3 linked regions of the Schizosaccharomyces pombe genome follow. Changing the gene in region 2 together with the main gene of any one other region gives a genetic interaction. Each region holds a gene or a part of one and is shown on either strand. Other genes may lie near its edges.

Region 1 (6,802 bases), on a different chromosome or scaffold from region 2:
GCAACGTTACATAAGAAGGTTGGGAAGGAAGGAGATTGGTTCTGTCATTGATGAATTAAAGAAGAATACAGACAACATCATTAGGAAGTCATTTCTTCCAGTGTTAAGGACATTACTTGAGAAGAGTAACCATTTACATTGTTATCAAGATGACATATTTTCAATGATTCAGACAAGCGTAACAAATAGTGGAAAGGATGCCAACATTATTCCATGCTTGCTCCGATCGAAGCATAAACGTGATAAAGCCAACCCAGAAAACAAAGAGCGTAAACTTGTTAATAATTTACTGGGTGCTCAACTGTTAGAAGAAATGCTTCACTGTGAGAAACAACATATTCAGTTATTATTAGATAGCGTTTTAGATCTCTCAAAAGAGCAGATTTTGGAATATTGTCTGGAAACAGTATCCTCTCACTTGATAGAAGGAATTCTTGATTTATCAGACTTAAACCCGGTATTTCTTAAAAAATTTCTCAATATCCTTTCCGGATCATTTGCTACATTAGCTGTTTCTGCTCCTGGTTCGCATATTGTAGATAAAGCGTGGAAGGCCACAAGGGCATTGCCGCTTTATCGTACAAGAATTGTTCGTGAGTTGGCTGAAGGTGGTGACGACGTCAAATTTGATTTCTATGGCAAAAAAGTTTGCTCAAACTGGAAGGTCGAGCTTTTTCGTCGAGCTCCTGATGAATGGTATCGTTTCATGAAACAGGATGAACCATCTAAGCGTGTTCATGAACGTGCACGCCAGTATGGTCGTATTGTTTCTGGCAGTTCAGCCAATACTCAGCCTTTGGGGGAGAAGCGCAGCACTGAAAATGATGAAGAGCTTGAGTCCGGTCCTAAAAGAGTGAAAGTCTGAAGGAGAAAAGGTTTCCATTGGTTAAATTGAAATGCACGGCATTTTTACGTCTCGCCAATTTAAGCATGGCATTTTGTTGGTCAAAAAAAAGTTATGTTTTTAATTTAGGTAATATAGGTATTTAATTTTGTTGCGGTTTGCTATGTATAGAGGCGCTTTTGCAGAGTAAGGAAGTAAACTTTGTAAAAGGAATTGTATTTCTAATTATGAATTGATCAACTGAAGAAGAGGTTTCGAATTTTTTGAATTGTTCTACCACTAATAATTTGTGTTTTGTATATTTGTATTCAAATGTTTTGCCTTATTTCTCTAAGGTGGTTTCTAGGCTGAAAAAGAATTGACAGAGGTTTTGAGCTGATTTTCATTGTCAAATAGTATTCACTTTATTTTTATCTTATGCTTAATTACTAAAGTATTTCGTTTATTAAGCAATGAGATTTTGCATTTGTTAATTTGATACAGCAATAATTCGCTTCTTAAATGAAGACAAAAAGTGTTAATTTATGGTATTAGGATAGAGTTGACCTAAATATGCTTTTATAAAGAAAGCTTGGCCAAAGAATTGTCTACATTTTATTGCCGTTTCGAAATACCGATGACAGAGGTGATACAGCTTCTAAACAAAATTAAACAATTTTAAACATAATAAAGAACCAAAGGAAAAAAAAGGAATCGATCAATCTCATGCCTTAATGCTGGTACAAGTTTCTTCTGAAGAATCATTCTTATAAATATTACAAATTCTTTACCGTAATACGAGAGAATACGTTATGCAGATTTAAGCATTTTAGAGAATTCTTATTTTATGAAGCACGGTACCGCAAAAGAATTTCTAGCAAGTTTGCAAGCTACAACAAACTGTCTCTCTACTCAATTATACAATTGCCATTGACTTGGCAAACTCCTCTCTACGAGTATTTAAAAGATGGAAATCGACGACATTTTTGCTTCTAAAAAGGCAAACCCTGCAAATGAAAAGTCAAATGACTCAAAGTCGGAGGCGAAAGCCCCTAAGAAAGGAGCCAAGACAAAATCTACTCCAAGTCGTCCAAAACCTACTAATAACCAAGACGATTTATTTTTAGATCCAAAGGGAGCCTCAGGAAGTAAGACACTTTTTGCCGTTTGATAGTTCATCCTTACATACGTTCTCGCTACTTGGTTAATGATTGCATTCGTTCATGTTTGGCATCCGCGTTGTTTGTCAATTCTTTGACCTCAAATTCATATTTATTGTCTAAAAGATTGAGAAACTTCGAACTGTGCTATATACTTATTTATTTATTATATACTGCTAGAGCTAGATTACGTTTTTCTAGGGAGATACATTTCACAATGATGTTTAGTGTTGGTGGAGACTCCAAATCATTAAGCTCTATTGTGTGGTATTGAACCTTATTCGCTATTCTGTTTACGGGAATGTTTGCCGAACGATGCAATACTTACCTAGCAACGGCACTTTTCTCCTTATCATCAGTAATTGTATTAACGTTTTGTGTTTTAGGAAAGCGTACCGAGGAAGGGTTTCTTGTATATGACGAGGAGGAATTAAACATTGGCCAAGGTGGAGGTACACCGGATTGCCCTTTTGATTGTCAGTGTTGTAAGTAACTTATTCATTGCATTTAAAAACTTTTCCATGGCATTTTTTCTCTTGCTAGCTCTATACTAATACTAATACCTTAAGGTTTTTGATCTCAACGTCGTTGTCGTTTTTTCAGGTTGGTTACCGTTTTTTTTTGGCTTGTCATACTTAATCTATGTTTTCTAATATCATCCATGATCCAGTTGTTGAAGCGTAGACATTTTCATAGCCGTGATTATCCTGTTTATTAGTGGTAGTGTCTTTCAATCAAACCTTTTACTGGTTTAATTCAAAAAATAGTTGATTTGTCCCTTTGGCAACAAAAGGTAAATAAACAATCCCTGGGTCTGTGTTTACACTTGTATTGCGTTGTTGTGATATGGTTCGGTAATCCATGCAATGTAAACAAATAGTGACTTGTTTTGCGGTAAAGTGAAGCATAAAATTCAACAATTGTCGTCATAGCAACGGAGTAGCTATTTGATATAAACAAATAGCCAGCGCACCAAACATTGCTGTAACAAACAAAAAAAAATCGAAGAGTGATTAGTTCAATCATCTACTGGGTTAGACTGGCTTTGAGCCACACTTTCATCTCACTTCAAGTTATCAAGCACTCTTTTCAAGAGTCATTTCTCTCATCGTTCTCTCCTTGATTTCTCTACGCATTGCACTAGATACTCGCTATCCTAAGTAAACAAGACAATGTCGCTTTCATATTTATCATCTTCTTCGCAAAAGTCGTTTGAATCATTTCGACAAGAAGAGAGTCCAGCTTGTAATCATTCGTACCAAAGGGATTATGAAACTTTTGGCGATAGCAAGCATACTTCTTTTTCCTCCTTCGCTCCCTTTGAAAATGAGGTGTCTTTAAATCAAGCTGTTATCCCTTCACCGCCTTCTCATCTTCAGAACTTTCAAGATCAGTTTGACTATAGTTCTGTTCTAAAAACACCGTTTAACCCTTTGTTGGAAGCGAATTCTGCATACTTTTTATCGAACCAAATATCGCTCCCCGACTCTCACTCGTATGCATCCTCCTTTGATGCTTCCTTATCACCCCCTTCCTCGCCTTTAACTTGCGTATCACAAATCCATACCGAGCAAAATTTTAATAACAATGACGCATTTTCCTTGACCAACTCTCAACAGGCCTTTTCCGAAATTGGTTATGATGCATCAAATTGGATTGATGAGCTGGACTCTCAACAACAAGTCCTTTCGTTTCCTGAGTTTGACATACCAGAAATAAAGACGGAAACTTGCTCCAACAAAGATCACCTCGAAAATTTCGACTACCTTTCCTCAAGTATACCTGAAACCTCGGGTCCTGCCTCTTCCGTTCTTCCCAGCTCTTCGCAATTGGAATCATTTAATGAGTTTATGTTCCTCCCATCCTCTCCCCCTGGATTAGATGAGATAAACGGTGCGCCTTCATTTGAAGAATTGAACTTTCAAATATCCCAACCAAGTCCGGCACATCCTGTAGACTTATCGAGTCCAGAGACTGCACCTAATATCTCCCCTGTATCCCCATTTGCCCAACTTGTAAAGCTAGAGCCCACTTCGCCTCAAAAGCCCTCCTTTGCTCTAGATTCTTCGTTTTCCCATTTGGATGTATGCAGGCATACTGACAACCAGAAAGCGTTTGCAAAGTTATCATCACCTGCTGAATACGTTTCTGAATTTGAAAAATTCTCATCCGTTTGCGATCATGGACTTGACATATCGAACGCAAATATCAACAACACTTTGACACAGCAGTTTGCATTAAGTGCACCTTATGAATCTTGCATAGTTACCAAGAAACCTGAACCTTGTATCACTGTCAAGGAAGAAGAACAATTAGCTCCAAAAATTGAATCTGCTGATTTATCAATTACTCCTCAAGTCACCGAGCATGATTCCAAACCTCCGGTCAGAATTTCATACGATCATAGATGCAAAACTCGCAAGCAATCAACTAGGATTTGTAGAATTCCTCCGGAGACAATGGCTAGCTTATATTGCGGCCCTGAAGCAGATGGAAAGTACGTCTGTTTGTACAACGGGTGCAATAAACGTATTGCTCGCAAATATAATGTTGAATCGCATATTCAAACACATCTGAGCGACCGTCCGTATCGCTGTGACTTATGCAAAGCTGGCTTTGTTCGTCACCACGATCTTAAGCGTCATCTGAGGATTCACGAAAATGGCAGGCCATATGTATGTGAATGCTTAAAGAGATTTAACCGACTTGATGCCTTAAATCGGCATAAGCAGAGAAATATATGTGTTGGCGGCGTAGATCGCAGACAGCACTAATGATGACAGCTGTACAACTTGCATCGCATTGCATTATAATGAGTTATGTTTGGTTTTTTTTTGGGATTTTTTAATTTTACTAATATTATTGTTTTTAATTTGCTTTTATATAAATTCAAATTCAAGCATCGTACATGAACTAATGCTGTGACAATTTTGATAATTTATCAACTTGTATCTGTCTTTTGTATATTTATTCATCACCCTAGTATTGTGTATAACTCTGCATCATCTAAAATCTACAGATTAATCTTTGTGAAATGGAAATACAACTATGAAGTTGTTCGTATCGTTGAACGGCTGAAATGGTAAAACTAGTTTCCCCAAACCTGACAAACAACTTGGATACATGAGTAAGAATTAGTGTTTGCTTTCACTCGCACCGATGTTTAGTCAACATATGTTTAAGTTGGTATTTCTAGGGAAAACTTGTATTTAATTACTATAGTATGCGAAGTATTTCATTGGAAAACAGTGGTTGTAGTATGCTGCCAAGCAAGCATTTATTATGATAATAATAATTCAACAAATTAATCACTATGACTTAAACAGAGAAACCAATGATTGTTTTAACTATTATTGCTGGTCATTGGAGGAAATTTTGTCGGCAAGAGAAAAGATAATTCATTTCTATTTGCAAAGAACCAAAAAATACGAAAACTCGTCGTAGCTTATGCAAACACAAAATCACAGGTTTACAAGCCTTTACTACACTAAATCACCATATATGAATCATTCAATAGGATATAATTGACATCAATTAGTGACAAACTGTCGATATTAATACAAGGGAATCAGGATTTTCATTTCAGCATTACGATTTTAAAAATTGTGAGAAATGTTAAATTGTGTTATATAATTAACGCAAACGTTAATTCTCAGTACGAGAAACTTGCGTTACACCCTAACCTACGTGAGTTAAAACCAGTCACGCATCCATATATCACAATGCAACATCAATATTTTCCTCCATCCGCGAGGAAGAGGCAATACTTTGCTGACGATGCAGATCTTTGTAAAAACCCTTACGGGTAAGACCATTACCCTTGAGGTTGAATCCTCTGACACTATTGACAATGTCAAGAGCAAAATCCAAGATAAGGAAGGAATTCCTCCTGATCAACAACGTTTGATCTTTGCTGGCAAGCAACTCGAGGACGGACGTACTTTGTCTGATTATAACATCCAAAAGGAGTCCACTCTTCACCTCGTTTTGCGTCTTCGTGGTGGTGGTAAGAAGCGTAAAAAGAAGACTTACACTACTCCCAAGAAGATCAAGCACAAGCACAAGAAGGTTGAGCTCGCCGTCCTCAAATACTACAAGGTTGAGGATGATGGAAGCGTTAAGCGTCTTCGTCGTGAGTGTCCCAACTGTGGTGCGTCCACCTTCATGGCCAACCACAAGGACCGCCTTTACTGTGGTAGATGCCATTTGACTCTTAAGTTGGAAAACTAAACTTGAATGAAATAGTATTTTCTACTGTGGTCTAGACATATCATCATGAGCAGTAATTGTAGAATATTAAGATTGAAATAAGCTGTAAAACTTTTAAAAATAATTTTATAAGTAGATGCATGAGACTATAAATTGTTCAAAATGAGTATAGATTCATCACTTGGTTCAGTGATCGTTTTGAATAGTACCTGAGCACATTAGCAACTCGTGGAGTACTATTTTGCTCAATTCACTTTTTTTCAGAATTAGAGAATGAAAGAAGATTTCTTCAAATTCATGTGTAGTCGTTACGATTAATACAACCTAACTTTTACATACAAGTAGCATGCGAATACTTTTTGGTCGTCGAAAAATCATTCCAACCAATATCTAAATAAATTTCTTTTGCATGCAACTATGTTAAAACGAAAAATTAGCCTTTATATTAAAAAAAAAAAAATATTCTATATCTTTGAACGAGAGTAACAAAAAAGGCTCTTCATTGAATTGAAAGCCTTGGTTAGTACTATCTGCTTTCCATTTAGCGAATTTTAAACCATCGTTATTTCATTGGATATACTACGAATTATTAACATTTTAATAGCACGCA
Region 2 (7,919 bases):
CTATAATAAGAAGAAGCTCAAAAACGGCTTTTTTAATTAGCACGCGCTTGGTACTTGCTAGACTCCATTCGTGCAATTTCTGCTTAAGAGAAAATCTTGACTGTTATCTTTGTAATGTACAATATCGCTGCATCGTTTCAATATGCTCCGATTCTATAAAGTACTTAGTGTTGCGTTAATTTTCTTTAATTAAACATTCCAGATGCGAGCACAATTCGTTATATTACAGAACTTGTGTTGGTAGTTCATTAGAATAAAATTGGCGAAAAAAAAATTTCTCTTATATAACATATATAGATAATATATAACTGCAAACTGCATTTTGTTCCAGTTTTCCGGATTTCAAGTTGGTTTTGCGAAAAAGTGCGGGTAACATGACACTTTTCAAATCAAAATCAACTTAATAGATTAGGCATTCGAGTGCGTAATTTCGTATTCGAGTTAGGGGTTCGCTTATGGGGATTCCCGATGTGCACGAAATCTTTACCAACATCAAATTTTACCTTTTTCACAGCATTTTCAGCGCACGATAACACTCTTGTTAGCAATTTGATTGCGCACAATTTAACTTTTTATTGAGTGTGTCCGGTGATTTTGTCGTGTTAAATCGGGAATTAAAGGTAGTAAACATTGCAACTTTCTGGCAGCGAAAACTATTCTTTGCCTATATCTTCATAGAAAGCGAGGCTTTTTTGGGTTTTTCATTTCCTTCAAATTATCAACCTTTCTTTTTTATTGTTTTTACTTTTTAATTACGAGCAATTTGATTGTTGGGAATAGATACTTATTATTTTTTTGATCTGGAAATATTTTGAAAATTATCGGTTCGCGGTTATATTATTTTCGTAATTTTTGCATTTCTCTTTTTCCTTGTTTTTAAAATATTTCGTGCATATTAAAGCGATCTTTCAACTTGTTCCTGCTTCTAGCAAGCCGTACGATTATAGAGTCGGTTTTCTTCAAGTCAAACCGTTCATTATTTTTTACTATTTAACAGATATATATATATATATATTTAATTTTTATTAAAACAAACTCATTTCTTTTGTGGTGTTTGCTTTTTTTGTGAGAATGCAGAAATTTCAAATAAAAGTTCCAGCTTCGTCCGCTAACATTGGACCTGGTTTCGATGTCTTGGGAATGTCTCTTGAGGAATACATGACCCTTGATGTGGAAGTATCCACAGAAAGCGGACCTTGTGTCTTGACATATGAAGGAGACGGTAAGGAACACGTTTCCTTGGATGTCCAGAAAAACATGATAACACAAACCTCTTTATATGTCTTACGTTGCAACAACATTTCTACATTTCCCTATGCTACCAAAATACACGTTATAAATCCCATTCCTCTCGGTCGTGGTATGGGATCTAGTGGATCGGCTGCCATTGCAGGTGTTATGCTTGCAAACGAGATTGCAAAACTTGGTCTATCCAAACTGCAAATGATGGATTATGTTCTAATGATAGAAAGACACCCAGACAATGTAATGGCGTCCATGATGGGTGGATTCGTAGGTTCATTTCTCAGAGAACTATCTGAGGAAGAAAAGAATGCATTTTCTCCATCTGCTGATGATTTATTGAAAAACGAAGCCTTAACTTTACCTCCCAAGTCTTTAGGTACTTTTGCCAGGCTTCCATGGGCTTCTGAATTAAAGGCAATTGTCGTAATCCCTGAATTCCATTTAGCAACTTCTAAAGCACGGAGTGTGCTTCCTACTTCTTATGGTAGAACTGATGTGGTTTATAATTTGCAACGCTTGGCTTTGCTCACAACTGCGTTAGGCCAAACTCCCATAAATCCTCATTTAGTTTATGAAGTGATGAAGGATAAAGTTCACCAACCATATCGTGCTTCGTTGATCCCAGGCTTGCAGAACATTCTTGCAACTCTTAACCCTGACACTCAACCTGGTTTGTGCGGCATTTGTCTTTCTGGTGCTGGTCCTACCGTTCTTGCACTAGCAACCGGAAATTTCGACGAAATTGCCCATGCAATGCTTAGCATTTTTGAAAAACACGGTGTCAAGTGTAGATATTTAGTTCTTTCACCTGCATTTGACGGTGCAACAGTCAAATACTTTTGAATTGGATAACTATGAATAATGCGTTGCCGTATATTAACACGTGAATGAAGCATTTACATGTATTTGGGATTCCAATTATACCATATAATTATCATTCCTTTTTTTTATTTAATATCACGGTTTTTTTTGGTTTTTTCTTTTTTGAATAAAATATAGATACAGTTATAAAATTTTATGCTCTTAGATTATATCTCTTGTCCGATTTATATCTATCGGTAATTACGAAGACAAAAGCTGATTATATGTACAACACATTCACTGTGCTTTCTTCAAATTTTAAATTAGTGCTAAAAAAACATTGGTTTAATCGTAAGGTATATTTTGTTTAGTCAAGGTTAATTTCATTTAATACCCGATAAGATTAAAATCTAATCACAACAAAGGTGTAAGCTACAAAAGAACTTTTTAATAAGAAACAAACATTATAATTCCATTTAAATATACCTAATTTCGTGGTTACTATTCAATATGAAACCACAACATACCTGTCTTTTGTAAGGCCATGTTGCAAGTCTTCTAAAAAAATATAAAGAATAAAAAGACACATGGAAAAGACCATTCCATATCAAATAAGTAACGTTTACAAAAATATGCTATAACCAAGATAAATAGCACAGTTGTTTGATAAACTTATTATTAAGCTTAGTTTTTCTCCAATGAGCACAGCAATAAATATTCATTGTTCTTAGAATCATAGTAGCCCAACGGACCTTTTTCACAATCAGCACAAGCAAGTAATTTATAATTATTTGCTAAGGGTTTTGATACGCTAACGTTGTCGAAAGCAAACGGATCTTTTAGAAGAAAAAAATCGTCAGTTTCTAGATCTTCTTGTGTTTCAGAATGCAGCATAGCTGACATTGTTGGCCTCTTAACAACATCTGGACGTTTGTTATTAAATACGACTGAAGGGCAATGTTGACAAACAATTCGCAAATTCGACATAATTTAGGAAAACAATATGGTGGTAGTTAGTTAGTAGTAAGCGCCAATCAGCGTTTTTTGTGGATATAACCTATTAAAAAAATAAAAATACAAGAGAAAACTTTTAAAAGTTTAAATGCTAATTACAAGTTCTTCAAATTTAATTCAATACATGTAGCATTCATTTCCAAAATAGGTACTGACGTGTCTAGTGCAATGAAGATATGGAAAACAATGTTTTGCATTTTGACGATAGAAGCAAATCAATAATTAGACGCTGAAAACTTCTTTTTTTTTGACATGCTATTTGGTTTCATAAATTAACATGGCCTGGTTTTCACTATATTTAAACTTCACCACATAATTAGTAAGTTATTATAAAAGAAAACGCAAAAAATTTTTATTTGCTCGTCTAATGTGTTCTTGAATATTGTCTTTCTCTTAATGTTAAACGAGACATATCAGTTCGCCTGATGCATTGGTTCATATAGTAGTTATTTTCAAATTTAGAAATTCGGACACATAATTCTTCTATCCTTCTATGTTAAATACAGAACCTTTTTCTTTCTACTCAATTTGCTTTCCGTGTTGCAACCTTGACACATACTAAAACTTTGTACACAGTGGTTTTTGAACTTTCTTCTAGTAACTAAAATTTTAGAAGTACGGCATTGAAAGAAATATTGTAATCAAACTTTGAATGTGTGCAGACTGCAAAATTGGGAAATTAGCTTGGCACTTGCAATTTTCAATGTAAATGTGTAGGAATCGTGTGCCATCCCTTCAATTGTCTAATATTTTAATTGAAATCTATAGAACTACGCTATTTTTGCTCGAATTATTGCTACTATGATTACTTTGTCTAAATCCTTAATAAAAAGAAGTATTCTTGATTAGCTCCGTGAACTTCTCGATTCAGTTATGTGACAAAGAATATTATTAGCTTCCAAATATTGAAATATTATTATTTTATTAACTAAATGAGTTTCTAAGCCAAGTCAATTTATCAATCATCGTTATTGTTATTGTTGAAATAATACAAAAAATATAACGCATGCTATTGATTCTTAACCAAATGTATTAATCACCTAAAATTTGTCAACCACTAACTGATATGATTAGACTAAGCTCAACTTCAACTTATACTCTCTTTATAGCAATATTTAAGTTGCATGAACATCCGACGTTATTAAATATTTTAGTATGAAGATAATATTATAGCTATTCACTAAAAAAATATTTCATAACTGAAACTAGTGCCTCATTTCATTTAAATTTCTAATTATAGGACCTCAAAAAATAAAACAACGTTTTACTGTATGGTTAATACTATGGAACCAGAAATGTGTCAAATTAAGGGCATACTTAATGAAGGAGGATAATTGGCAGCTTAACGTATCATAACGTATACCCTTATTACTGTTAGTAAAATACTCACAACCCAACATCGTAATCGATTTTTCGGCTCTATGACATATTGTCACTAAAATAGAGGATCCGCTTTCACGAGGTGGAGATTTCTATCTCATCTCGTACACTCATATTTTGGCAAACGTCCAAAATTGGAGCAATTCGGAGCATTTGATACGAAAGGATATTTGACACGATTGTGTATCACTATTACAAATCTTAATATTTTTATGCAATATTAGTATCTCGTTGTGCATTTCTCTCGTTTCTGACAGCATCCAGTATTGAGTTTGTATCTTTTGCTTCCTATACTGTAATACCTATTTCTATAATTATTTCTGTCTTAGACTTAAGACTTTATTTTTGGTTGTAAAGGATTGTGAATTTAGAGCACCACACTTTCTTTCTTTCTTTTTTTTGTGCTTCGGAATCGTGCCTTGTCGTAACACTAGTGCGAGAATCCAAGGTCGGACAATTTTTTTTTTGTCCTTTGAGTACTATTATTATTAATTCTTTTCAAATCTTTGAATTTTGCAAAATACTTCATTCTTTTTGGTCCGCATACTGACAATCTATGTTTGTGTAAGTCCGGAGTATAGTAGTATTCACTATTACTATTATTTTCCCTTAATTGGTTTTCTCTTTTAATCATTATTATTATTGGCATTGCCATTATCTAACGGTGCTTTAATTTTTGTTTTATTATTCAATTTGTCTGAACATCTTCCTCATGAATTTTAATTCTACTAACCCTTATTATTTTACTCATGAAAAAAACCTTAACAATGCTTCTAAGTACTCTGAACTCCCAATTGCTTATCAGGAAATTCCTTTGCAATCTTTACCACCTTATCCCAAGGTTGCTTCAAAGTTGAAGGGCGTAGTTGCAGGCGGAAAAGAAAATAACATTGCATCTTTTCAAAAACCTTCTTCAAAAGCCACTCGACCATATATACCTTCTTATACTAGATTGACTTATTCTGTTCCTCCTCTTCCCATACCTCCTCCTTCGGAGCAATCTTTGGATACTATTATATATCGAAACCCTTCTGTATCTTCTTCTCAGTCTCAAGAACCGGAGGAGTTTTTCTTACCCCTAGATGATGGAAAGAAACCTCCTTATTCCTATGCTATGTTAATTGGAATGTCAATAATCCGTTCTCCCGATCGTCGTCTCACTTTAAGTGCTATATATGATTGGATCAGCAATACTTTTTCTTTCTATAATAAGTCCAATAACGGTTGGCAAAATTCCATCCGCCATAATTTAAGTCTAAATAAGGCATTCATGAAAATTGAACGTCCTAGAAATTTACCGGGGAAGGGTCATTTTTGGAGCATTCGTCCTGGTCATGAAGAACAATTTCTAAAACTAAAGCTGCGTAAACCAGGAGTAAATTCAAGACCAGCGCCTCCTGTTCAAGACGTTACCTCCTCTACAAAATATGGATCTTCTACCGGTTCCTCTGGATTTAACACGTTTAATACTTCTCCCCATATATTTAATCAGCGACATCAATATCTTCAGAATTATTATACTGCATCCTTAACGAACATTCCGACGATCTCTAATGTTAATGCCACAAATTTTCATCCTCTTCATAGTCAACAACCCTATGTAGATACCCCTGGTATCGATGCACCTTCTGATTTGGAAGCTAAGTTTTCCGATTTGGGTGTTTCCTCTGTCGTATCTGTAACTTCTCCTTTACAATCATGTACAAATTCTCCATCTCCTCCTTTGTCATCACCAGCATCCAGTGCTTCTCCATCTGAATCACTTAGGAATGAATCTTTGGGAATAAAGTCAGCTAAATCATTGGGTTTGAATAAAGATGATGCACCAGTAGAAGGTCCACCTGTATCACATTTGGAGAAGGATGTTGAAACCCCTTCAGTTCATGATTCCGTGTTGGGTTTTAATGACACTGTAACGAATCTCGGCAAGAAAGGTTTAAAAGATGGTACAACTAATACCCTACAGATCCCTGCAGTCCGTTTACCTTCTTTACCTAGCTCGCCTACCATAAAAAATCCCAGTGGACTTTTGCTAAAGCGATCAAATTCTATTGATTTTCCAACCCCCCCGAAGGCCTTGTGTCCTAAATTGTTTTGCTTTCGTGATGACATCGTGGCTGATGACTACACTAAGTTTTCTTTACTTTCACCCATCCGTTCTGATATGAGTGGTATCTCAGCAAGTCCGAATACAAATTTGAAGGAGCATCGAACTCGTATCTTGCAAATGCTGGCTACACCTGATGCAAAGCAATTATCATCTTTAACATCATCTGATGCAGAGTTTTGGTCAGTCACGCCTTTGAAGTCTTCAATTCTACGTAATGGAGATGCATCTAAACAAGTAACGCTATCTGAAAGTCCTAAAGGTGATAGCTTACTTGATGGAGGATCATTATCTTATTTTACCAATAACATTAGTTCCGTTGCCGGCTTAGAAACACCAAGCAAGCTACCCATGAGCAAGTCGTTTGATACCTTTGAAGATGATTTTTTGGATCCCATGGATATGTTGAGTTTTGAAAATCACTTTTCCGACTTTAATAGCAATCGAAAAGTGTCTCCTGTTAAACGTGAGGTGCGTAGAAAATATATTTCTTCAGCAACTACTATTCATTCTTCAGCCGCGCAAGATGATACTTACTTGCCTTCTCCTACCAAGAGGAAAATGCCACTTCTTCGTCAAACTTCAACACTATTCTAAATTTGTTTTAGCACTTATCTACTTTTTATCCATGCTTTATTTAATGTGATATTTCTTCGTTCTAGTTAAAGACTGCTATGGGAATTCCTAATTTTACACATATCTTTTACCTTGGTTGCTTAATAAACTTTCAAACCCCCGATGTTACTTGTTCATTTGCGTGCGCAATTTTTTTAAATTTACGAAAGCTTTTAATTTATATCCGGCGAATTGTTCTCCCAGTTGCATATCTAATAGTCACATTAGCAATATAAAGCTTTATGAATATTTCGTAAACATAGTATACGCTTATAGCGTTTAGAAGTTTATCTCTTGTGTTATGTAAGAGTTGTAGATTAAACGTAATTTTATTTGTGGTAACCTATCTAAAACTTATATGACAAGTATTAGTTCCAAAACCCAATTTATTTATTTTATATATTTTTGTAACAAGTAGCCAATAAAGGTTTAATTTCCAAAATCTTTTATTTTGTCAAAACACACATTTTTCTAAAATTATTCCCCAACCGCAATAAATATACCTTTTTTAGTTTGCAGGAGAATCGACTACAGGGGTGAATATGTCAAAAGAACCGGTGCCAAAGTTACCGACTCGACCAACGACTAACCGAGATGAAGGATTGGATAAGTCATCAACATCACCACGGAGGGCGGCCTCAGTCAAAAAGTGACAAGTGGTCTCAAAAGACATTTTCGCAAATGGAGAAGTGTTATATTCTATTCCCATTCTATTGAAGGCTTTGTATCCTCCCTCGAAAGTCATATAATCTGCAAT
Region 3 (7,030 bases), 900 kb from region 2:
AAAATATACGTCTACCTATTACTTTAGTTTATGGCAGTAACGATAACATGGTGGACATTGAAACACTCAAGACCCAACTTCCACCATTATCTCAATGCATTCAGGTATGTTCTGAAACAGTTGTAGCTTCATTTACTTAAGTGGAAACTAACAAGTTAAAATTAAAGATTCCTAACTATGAGCATCTCGACATCATCATGGGAGATACGAAAAAGGACATAGTAATTCAGCAAGTCGTAGAACAACTAAATCATGTCATTGCTGGAGATTACTTTGAAAGCATAAAAGAAGAATTTGGACTTGACACAGAATTGGTTGACGGCGTTATGAACCATACAATATAGTGTTCATCGCTTCTGAAACTGGCACAATGTATATTTAATATGTTAGATAAGTTTCTGTTCTAAATCAAACTGAAGCACAGTGTTGTATAGACTGTTTCATCGTATGTGCAACCCTTCTTATCAGTATTTGTATTAAACGGCTAAAAAAAGTTTCTTTGTTTAATTTGAAAAAGTCAATATGGCAACGAAAGCAAAAAAAACTATGCAATTTTTATATGTACAAATAACTTTTAGATAATGCAACAACTAGAAGAATTTGCTGAGTGAATTTGTAACAATTCAAGATTTTATTTCGCAAAAGTTTGAAATGGATTGTACTGCCGCTAATGCATGCTAAGGGGGTAAATTTTCTTTCAAAAACGGGAAATAAATGCTTGATTTTCAGGTAGTAGATTTTTTTCTCTTAACATAAATATCCCCGCCGGTATCCCTTCTATACACATTACCAGTAGAAAGATCAATGAGCCTAAAAACACGCTTCCCAACTTCGCTGGGGCTTGAAGAAATTAGCTCTTCATCTTCATTCAAATCTTTGTGCTCATCAGATGTTTTGTGGAAGTGAGTAGCGTTTTGTCTCATGTTTAATTCCTCAATCGAAGGCCACTTCAGGATTTTAGCAGCCTCTTGAGGTGTAAACGTTTCTCCCTCAGGCAAACTCTTCCAAAGGGATACTGGATTGGAACGCAAAGGAATATCGTTTCCGTCATTAAACTGCATCATCTCAGGTTTAGTACATGCGTTCAGCATTTTCTCCATAACTTCATTATAACTATGAAGAATCGGCTTCTTTTTTTCTTCGAATTCATCATTTATTCTTCTCAACTTTATAAGAGCTTCAATCCTTTGTGGAGATGTGTTGAATTTTCGAGCAAGCACTTCTATACTTGCACCCTGCAAGTATTCATCGGTAATTTTCATACGCAAAGAATGAGATATAGGCCTAGGAGGCTTAAAAAAAGGGTTTAAAGGGAAGGGCTGATTTGTATTAGGTCCCAAGCCTACATTACCAGATGATGAGGACTTTGCTTTCTGTACTTCGGGAGACATTAACCATTGAGCCATCATTAAACGTTGTTTATGACGAAGTGTATTCTTAGAAACTGAAGAAGCAACATCATTTGGGGGTGTTACAGATCTTGAGTTGCAAGCAACGTACTTTGAATCAATGTTCTTTTGAGTGTGTTTATTTAAATCAATATTTCCCCCATTGCTTAAAAATGCTCCAGTACTAAAGAATTGTTTCTTGACTGCTGAGGTATAAGTTTTATTTTGAGATAAATTAAAAGCCGTTTTAAGCCCTAACTGTGAGAATTCCACTGAATTCCTCATTTAGGTGCGTTGGAAAGGTTTCTTGTGTCACTCCCCAAAAGTTAGTAACACGCCCTAATTCTATTCATCAAGATAGATATAGAAAATAAACTTCAAAAAACCAATAATTAATGAGACGATTTAGGAAAACTCAAATTTAACCTCCGGCGGTCAAGCAATCTAGCTCCATTATAAGATCCGATTAACATACAGACGCTTGATTTATTTATGAGACAATAACTCTCAGTATGCAATAAAGTAAGATTTTGTTTATTCTATAGAATGTTTGAGAGTCAGTTCCAATATTAGGATACGAACAGTTATACACATCAATACTTAAAAAATAAATACACAATTTAAGTCATAATTTCTACAGAATCAAACGAAAAAAATTCATTAAATACGGTCATTGCTTCTTTAGACAAGAGTTTCGCATGTCCTTGATATTTTTGTTTGGCAATTGACACATCAACAAATAATAAAGCGGATGGATGGCATTAAATTGATTAGGAAATTCCAAATTGAAAATTAAAGTAGAGGAAAGTTTTAGAATACATGTTATACAAACAAAACGATTTGTGTATCATATTTGTCAGAAAGTTCATAACCAACAATCTCAGCTTAATACCTAAGTTTATTATATTCGGCAAAAAAGGGGAAATAGGTTTAAGGAAACATTTATAAACTTACCTCAAATTATTTAGAGAGTAACCAAAAACCCAAAAAGCAATCAACTAATGAAGAGTGCATGGGCTTAACAATTATTCTAAAAACTTTAACTGAGATGTTTATTTCAAATGTTGAAAGGGAGACAATTCAAAAAGATTTTTAAAGTTAAACGACAATAGGCATATAATTGACCCTACTAAGGCAAAATCCAAAGTGCCTTTCAAAGACCATTTTGTATTTGACCGACTAAATCGTAACCCACTTCCTTTCAGTCTATTATCATAATGTACATTATTGCGAATATGTGTTTTAGAGAAAGCATTTTATGAAGTCATTATTTGGTATCCGAGGAACACTTCAGTAGTAGTTCCTTGCCATCCTCGATTTCCACTAGCTGAAAACATGAATTGACAAGAAGTGTCTACATAAAGCGAACTGACAAGACCTCCATGATGACCTGGAATAATTAAGAACCCTATGCCGGCCTTGCTTTGAAGATCATAAAGGCGGATATTATCAAAGGAGGAAATTACAAGGTGACGGCCATTCGGCATCGAATAGACATTTGAAACAGGACCCGAATCGAGAGGCATTTTTAAAGAGCGAACAGGCTCCTTGCCAGAGTGAATGTTATATTCTTCGACGATTCCATTTCGGCGGCCAATATATATATTATTTCCATCCGGACTCCAACATGCAGACATAGCCCATGGTGGTACACCCTTGGGGACGGGGTATTTGAGAACAGAATCGACCATGCGATGGTCCCATACATTCATAACTCCATCTATAGACGTCGTTAAGAAAATATTGGACTCTTCGGATGAAGATTCGGAAGGAGCTTTTATGTTGTCATTGTTAGTAGTAGATTCGGTTTGAGAGGGTTTTTCTGTCTCGTTCTCCTCATTTGCTTGAACAGATTTAGTTTCTTCTTCAATGGCTTTTTCCACCTCTTCATCAAACAGTGCATCGTAAGAAGAGGAAGACGCAGGTGTACCGAACAAACTACGCATGTCGTCCGATTCAGAACCCCAAGGATTTACAGCGCCTGATGGACGATAAACTATATTCGAAATTTGACCACTCTCACAATTGTATGTAGATATTGCATCACCAGTGTTAAGGTCCCAGTAATAAACCATTTTGTCCCAGCTTCCACTCAATACTTTTTTCTCGGAACCATGTAATGCTAAACACGAAACAGGAGCCGTATGCTTTTTTAAAGAAGTAACGGGATAACCCTCTTGATGTCTTGTAGAGTACAGTATAATATCTCCATTATTGACGCCCGAAAGAACCCAAAGACCTCTGGAATGAGCTGCAAGGCTATATACCGAAGATGGTTTATTTCCATCGTAAGCATTCTCCCAGTAGTTGAGTAATATTCCAGCCTTCGTTACTGTATCCACAAAGGGATGTCTCTGTGCAACAGTCAGGGAGAGATCACCATTAATGCTAGGAAAAAAATCATACTTCCTTATATATCCGTCTTCCCCACCAGTGAAAAGCCATTTTAAATCCGATGTGAAAGCAAATGCGTTTATGCTGGTAGCCATAGGGATTGCCAGGGTAGGCACCACATCATAAAAGCTGGCCGTTGAAGCCTTTTGTTTTAATTTCTCAAGTGGATTTTCCTTTGGTGTTTCTTCAGTTTCCTTCTTTTCAGAGGTTTGCTCAGTATCTTCATCGTTTTCGTTTTCATCTTCCATTGTATCCATCTCCACGTCTTCTTCACCGGACTTCTCATCAACCGCGTCTACATCCTCATCTTCTTTTTCGTTCATTACATTTTCTTCAGGATTTTTATCCTGATCCATATCCGCATCATCATCGTCTTCTGGATAAAGTCCTAGATTTGAAGTCAGTAAGAAGTGATATCTCGTTTATAAAACGAACCGTCAGAAGGTAGCAACATTGGATATGAAAAGGACTCACTCTCTTCTGCTTCCATCTTTAAAATATACACAAAAAGAGTTGTAACCTTAAAATGCTGCAATGCAGCAACAATATGTTTTGTTTACGTTCCCTCTGAGATATTAAAAGGAATTATAAGTTTAAGACCGTTGAATATATTTAGCGTAGACGCTATACCTCAATAAAAAGCTTTAATAAAGTCTTAAGTTTCACTGAATGTTACCATTAGAGTACAACTAAACGATCCTTATTTCGTTTAAGATAAATAAGTAGCGAGAGAAAACACTATTCCGCAATGAACATTAGGTAAATGAATGGGGAAGTTTGACAAGGTAAACTTTGTTTTTTATAATCAATCTACTTTCATAGAAAAAATAGGAAGCACTTTCTCTTTGGAAACATATTTCTGTTATTCGCCGTAGCACCCAGTATACTACTTTTATGGTTTCACGTCGCCCGTACTAAGAAACAACAAAAAGATTGATACTTATGGCAGGTATGTTGAAAAATCAAGTATTAGAATATGTGTTTTAACAAACTTGTAAGTGATCTATTAAACTTATAACCTCTGGGGCTTGCAAGCAGTCAAAAATTTAGTAACTTTTAACTAAAGAAATATTGAAATTGACCGTAAAATATAATTAAAATTAAAAGGCTTTAAGTTTATATAAAAGTTTACGGCGAAAGAATTCAGGACAAAAAGATAAACCGAGAATTTCGCGCACATAGTTCTACAATTAAGAAGAAGATATAAACAAGTTTCACAAATTATTATATTAGATCGAGTAAATTTCCAGTAACAAATACTTTGGTTAAAACTAAAGAAACAAACACCACATATTCTATACCCTTCTAGCATTGCTCCAATAAAGCCTTCAACTTAGGTTGCTTTTGAGCGAAGAGATCCGACTTTTTTAAAGATAGTTGATAGAGCTGTCGTACAGATTCAGTGTCAGGGAATGTATCGGAAATTTTTTCATTTACTTTGCTTAATAATCTTTTCAGTTCCGTTCTTGATAACTCTAGTAATTGTTGGCAACACTATTAAATTGTTAATCATTAAATTCCTGTTATATTCAAAGAAATAATAAATAAAGTTAAAAGCAGGGATAAATTACCTTTGAGATTCCGAACCAACCATGGAAATACTCTTCGCAAATTTCAACCGAGCGACAATAATGCTTCAACGAAAACCAATAGTTAGTTGCATTACTTTGAGCCAAAACAAAATATAAATCTCCCAATCGAGCAAAAAGTCGAGGCTCGAAAGGCTGAAGCAACACCATTTCTTCATAACAAAATATAGCACTTTCAAACCTATACAATCAATTAGAATTCAGAGATAAACAGAAATTCTTTATGACTTACGCTTCCACTGACACGTATATATCGGCAAGTTCTGCCCATGCCTCCAAGTCATTATAAAAAGTATCAAGATAATTAATGAGTCCTTGAATACATTCTTTCGTTTGTCCCATAGAACGCAATAAAGCCAATTTTCGTTTGTAGATGACCTGATGAAGTTAGCTTAGATAGCAGCGAATTGATATAGTATAAGCCAAGGCATGTAATCTTACCGTATGAGTTGGATCTTCTGAAAGCTTAGAATTGTAATAACTCATTGCATCTTTCTCGCTGGCTGTAGCTTCCAAGAACATGCCGTAAAGTCCTTCTACCCTAGGAGATTTATGAAATCTATCATTTAAACGATTCCAGCATTTCTAAATTAAAAAATTAAGTTAATAGTGCTATATAAAGGGCAATCGAGACTTCGTTGAATGAAGAAATCCTTACTTTTGCTAAAACTGTTTCGCCTGTAGTCAAAGCTGCAATAAACACCTTCTGATAGACATCCCAAATCTCATCTTTGTATTTACCAAGCTTTGCATATGCTTCCTGTTGCGAAAAAAGCGCAACTATCTCCTGAGGGTTCTGATCAGGAACTTTAAGAATACTATTGGACATTTTGAACTCCAGATTTCCGTAAAACGAAAAGTTATGAATATTCAGAAAAGACTCAATTAATTTCTGCTTTATGAAATATCAATCAATAAGGTAATTATCCAAATACCCAATATTCAAGTCCCAGCGCAAAACTAGGGTTTTATAGTGATAGGCGATGAGTGCGTTTTGAACAGCTAGTAGATTTGCTATTTGCAGCTTTCACATTTTTTAAGTGTTGATTTTTATTTTTTGAATTAAAGTTTATTTCATCTACAAATTCTTTTTTACTGAATACGAACGGTAGCGAATCAACTTTACAATGAGTAATATTGTTTTTTGCATGATTGAGTTAAATTTTGTAATATTAGACTACAAAGGAATAAATCCCTATCTATTTTATTTAGATTTTCTTAATTAAAATGAAAGCAAAATTTTACAATGGGTACTCTCTTCAATCTCTGGAAATGTCAGTATGTTGACTGATATTCATTTTCAAGTGACATTTATAGTTCTTTTGAAACTGACAACTATTGACATTGTTATAACAAAATATTAATGCTTCAATTTTAAATTCTTCTAAATCCCAGATATAAACCCAATCTTTGAAACGGCCATATTAGGACGAAAGGATTAGTATTTTTCACTTTTGTCAGGTTGCTTTCATATAATGTATTTAATAAAATTCTTAAACTTCCTATCCTAGGTTTGTAAATAAGAAGAAAAAAGCTGAATTGTGTATTGTTTGTATTTGACTAGGGAACTCAATGTTCAATAATCAAGATTATCAATAAGATAGTACTTCTACAGTTTCCTGTAGTAAAATTTTCGTAAAAAAAAAAAATGAAAACTAT

Evidence for each region.
Region 1: of sep1 (region 2) and ace2, changing one enhances a phenotype caused by changing the other (phenotypic enhancement), as found in Schizosaccharomyces pombe (one study listed by BioGRID).
Region 3: of sep1 (region 2) and spt8, changing one enhances a phenotype caused by changing the other (phenotypic enhancement), as found in Schizosaccharomyces pombe (one study listed by BioGRID).

The regions. Positions count from the first base shown.
Region 1 is NC_003424.3:3,237,321-3,244,122, reverse strand, and holds ace2 (DNA-binding transcription factor Ace2), read left to right. Parts: upstream 1-2,969; 5' UTR 2,970-3,155; coding exon 3,156-4,757; 3' UTR 4,758-4,891; downstream 4,892-6,802. Other genes in the region: RNA-binding protein Nop9, read left to right, coding at 1-865; SPOM_SPAC6G9.01C (uncharacterized protein), read left to right, coding at 1,791-1,971, 2,370-2,468, 2,553-2,560; ubi3 (ubiquitin-40S ribosomal protein S31 fusion protein), read left to right, coding at 5,761-6,213. UniProt on the Schizosaccharomyces pombe protein: Regulates the transcription of genes required for cell separation.
Region 2 is NC_003423.3:3,132,720-3,140,638, reverse strand, and holds sep1 (DNA-binding forkhead transcription factor Sep1), read left to right. Parts: upstream 1-4,534; 5' UTR 4,535-5,152; coding exon 5,153-7,144; 3' UTR 7,145-7,419; downstream 7,420-7,919. Other genes in the region: thr1 (homoserine kinase), read left to right, coding at 1,072-2,088; dss4 (guanyl-nucleotide exchange factor), read right to left, coding at 2,731-3,033; DNA-directed RNA polymerase I complex large subunit Nuc1, read right to left, coding at 7,671-7,919. UniProt on the Schizosaccharomyces pombe protein: Required for promoter sequence element PCB-driven, M-phase-specific transcription. Acts as a transcriptional activator with a role in the regulation of mitosis. Regulates septation and the periodic transcription of cdc15.
Region 3 is NC_003423.3:2,231,439-2,238,468, forward strand, and holds spt8 (SAGA complex subunit Spt8), read right to left. Parts: upstream 4,341-7,030; 5' UTR 4,273-4,340; coding exon 4,218-4,272; intron 4,171-4,217; coding exon 2,645-4,170; 3' UTR 2,023-2,644; downstream 1-2,022. Other genes in the region: SPOM_SPBC14C8.15 (triglyceride lipase-cholesterol esterase), read left to right, coding at 1-104, 168-344; bot1 (mitochondrial ribosomal protein subunit S45), read right to left, coding at 726-1,673; TPR repeat-containing protein Oca3, read right to left, coding at 5,088-5,276, 5,354-5,552, 5,604-5,749, 5,813-5,956, 6,030-6,200. UniProt on the Schizosaccharomyces pombe protein: Component of the transcription coactivator SAGA complex. SAGA acts as a general cofactor required for essentially all RNA polymerase II transcription. At the promoters, SAGA is required for transcription pre-initiation complex (PIC) recruitment.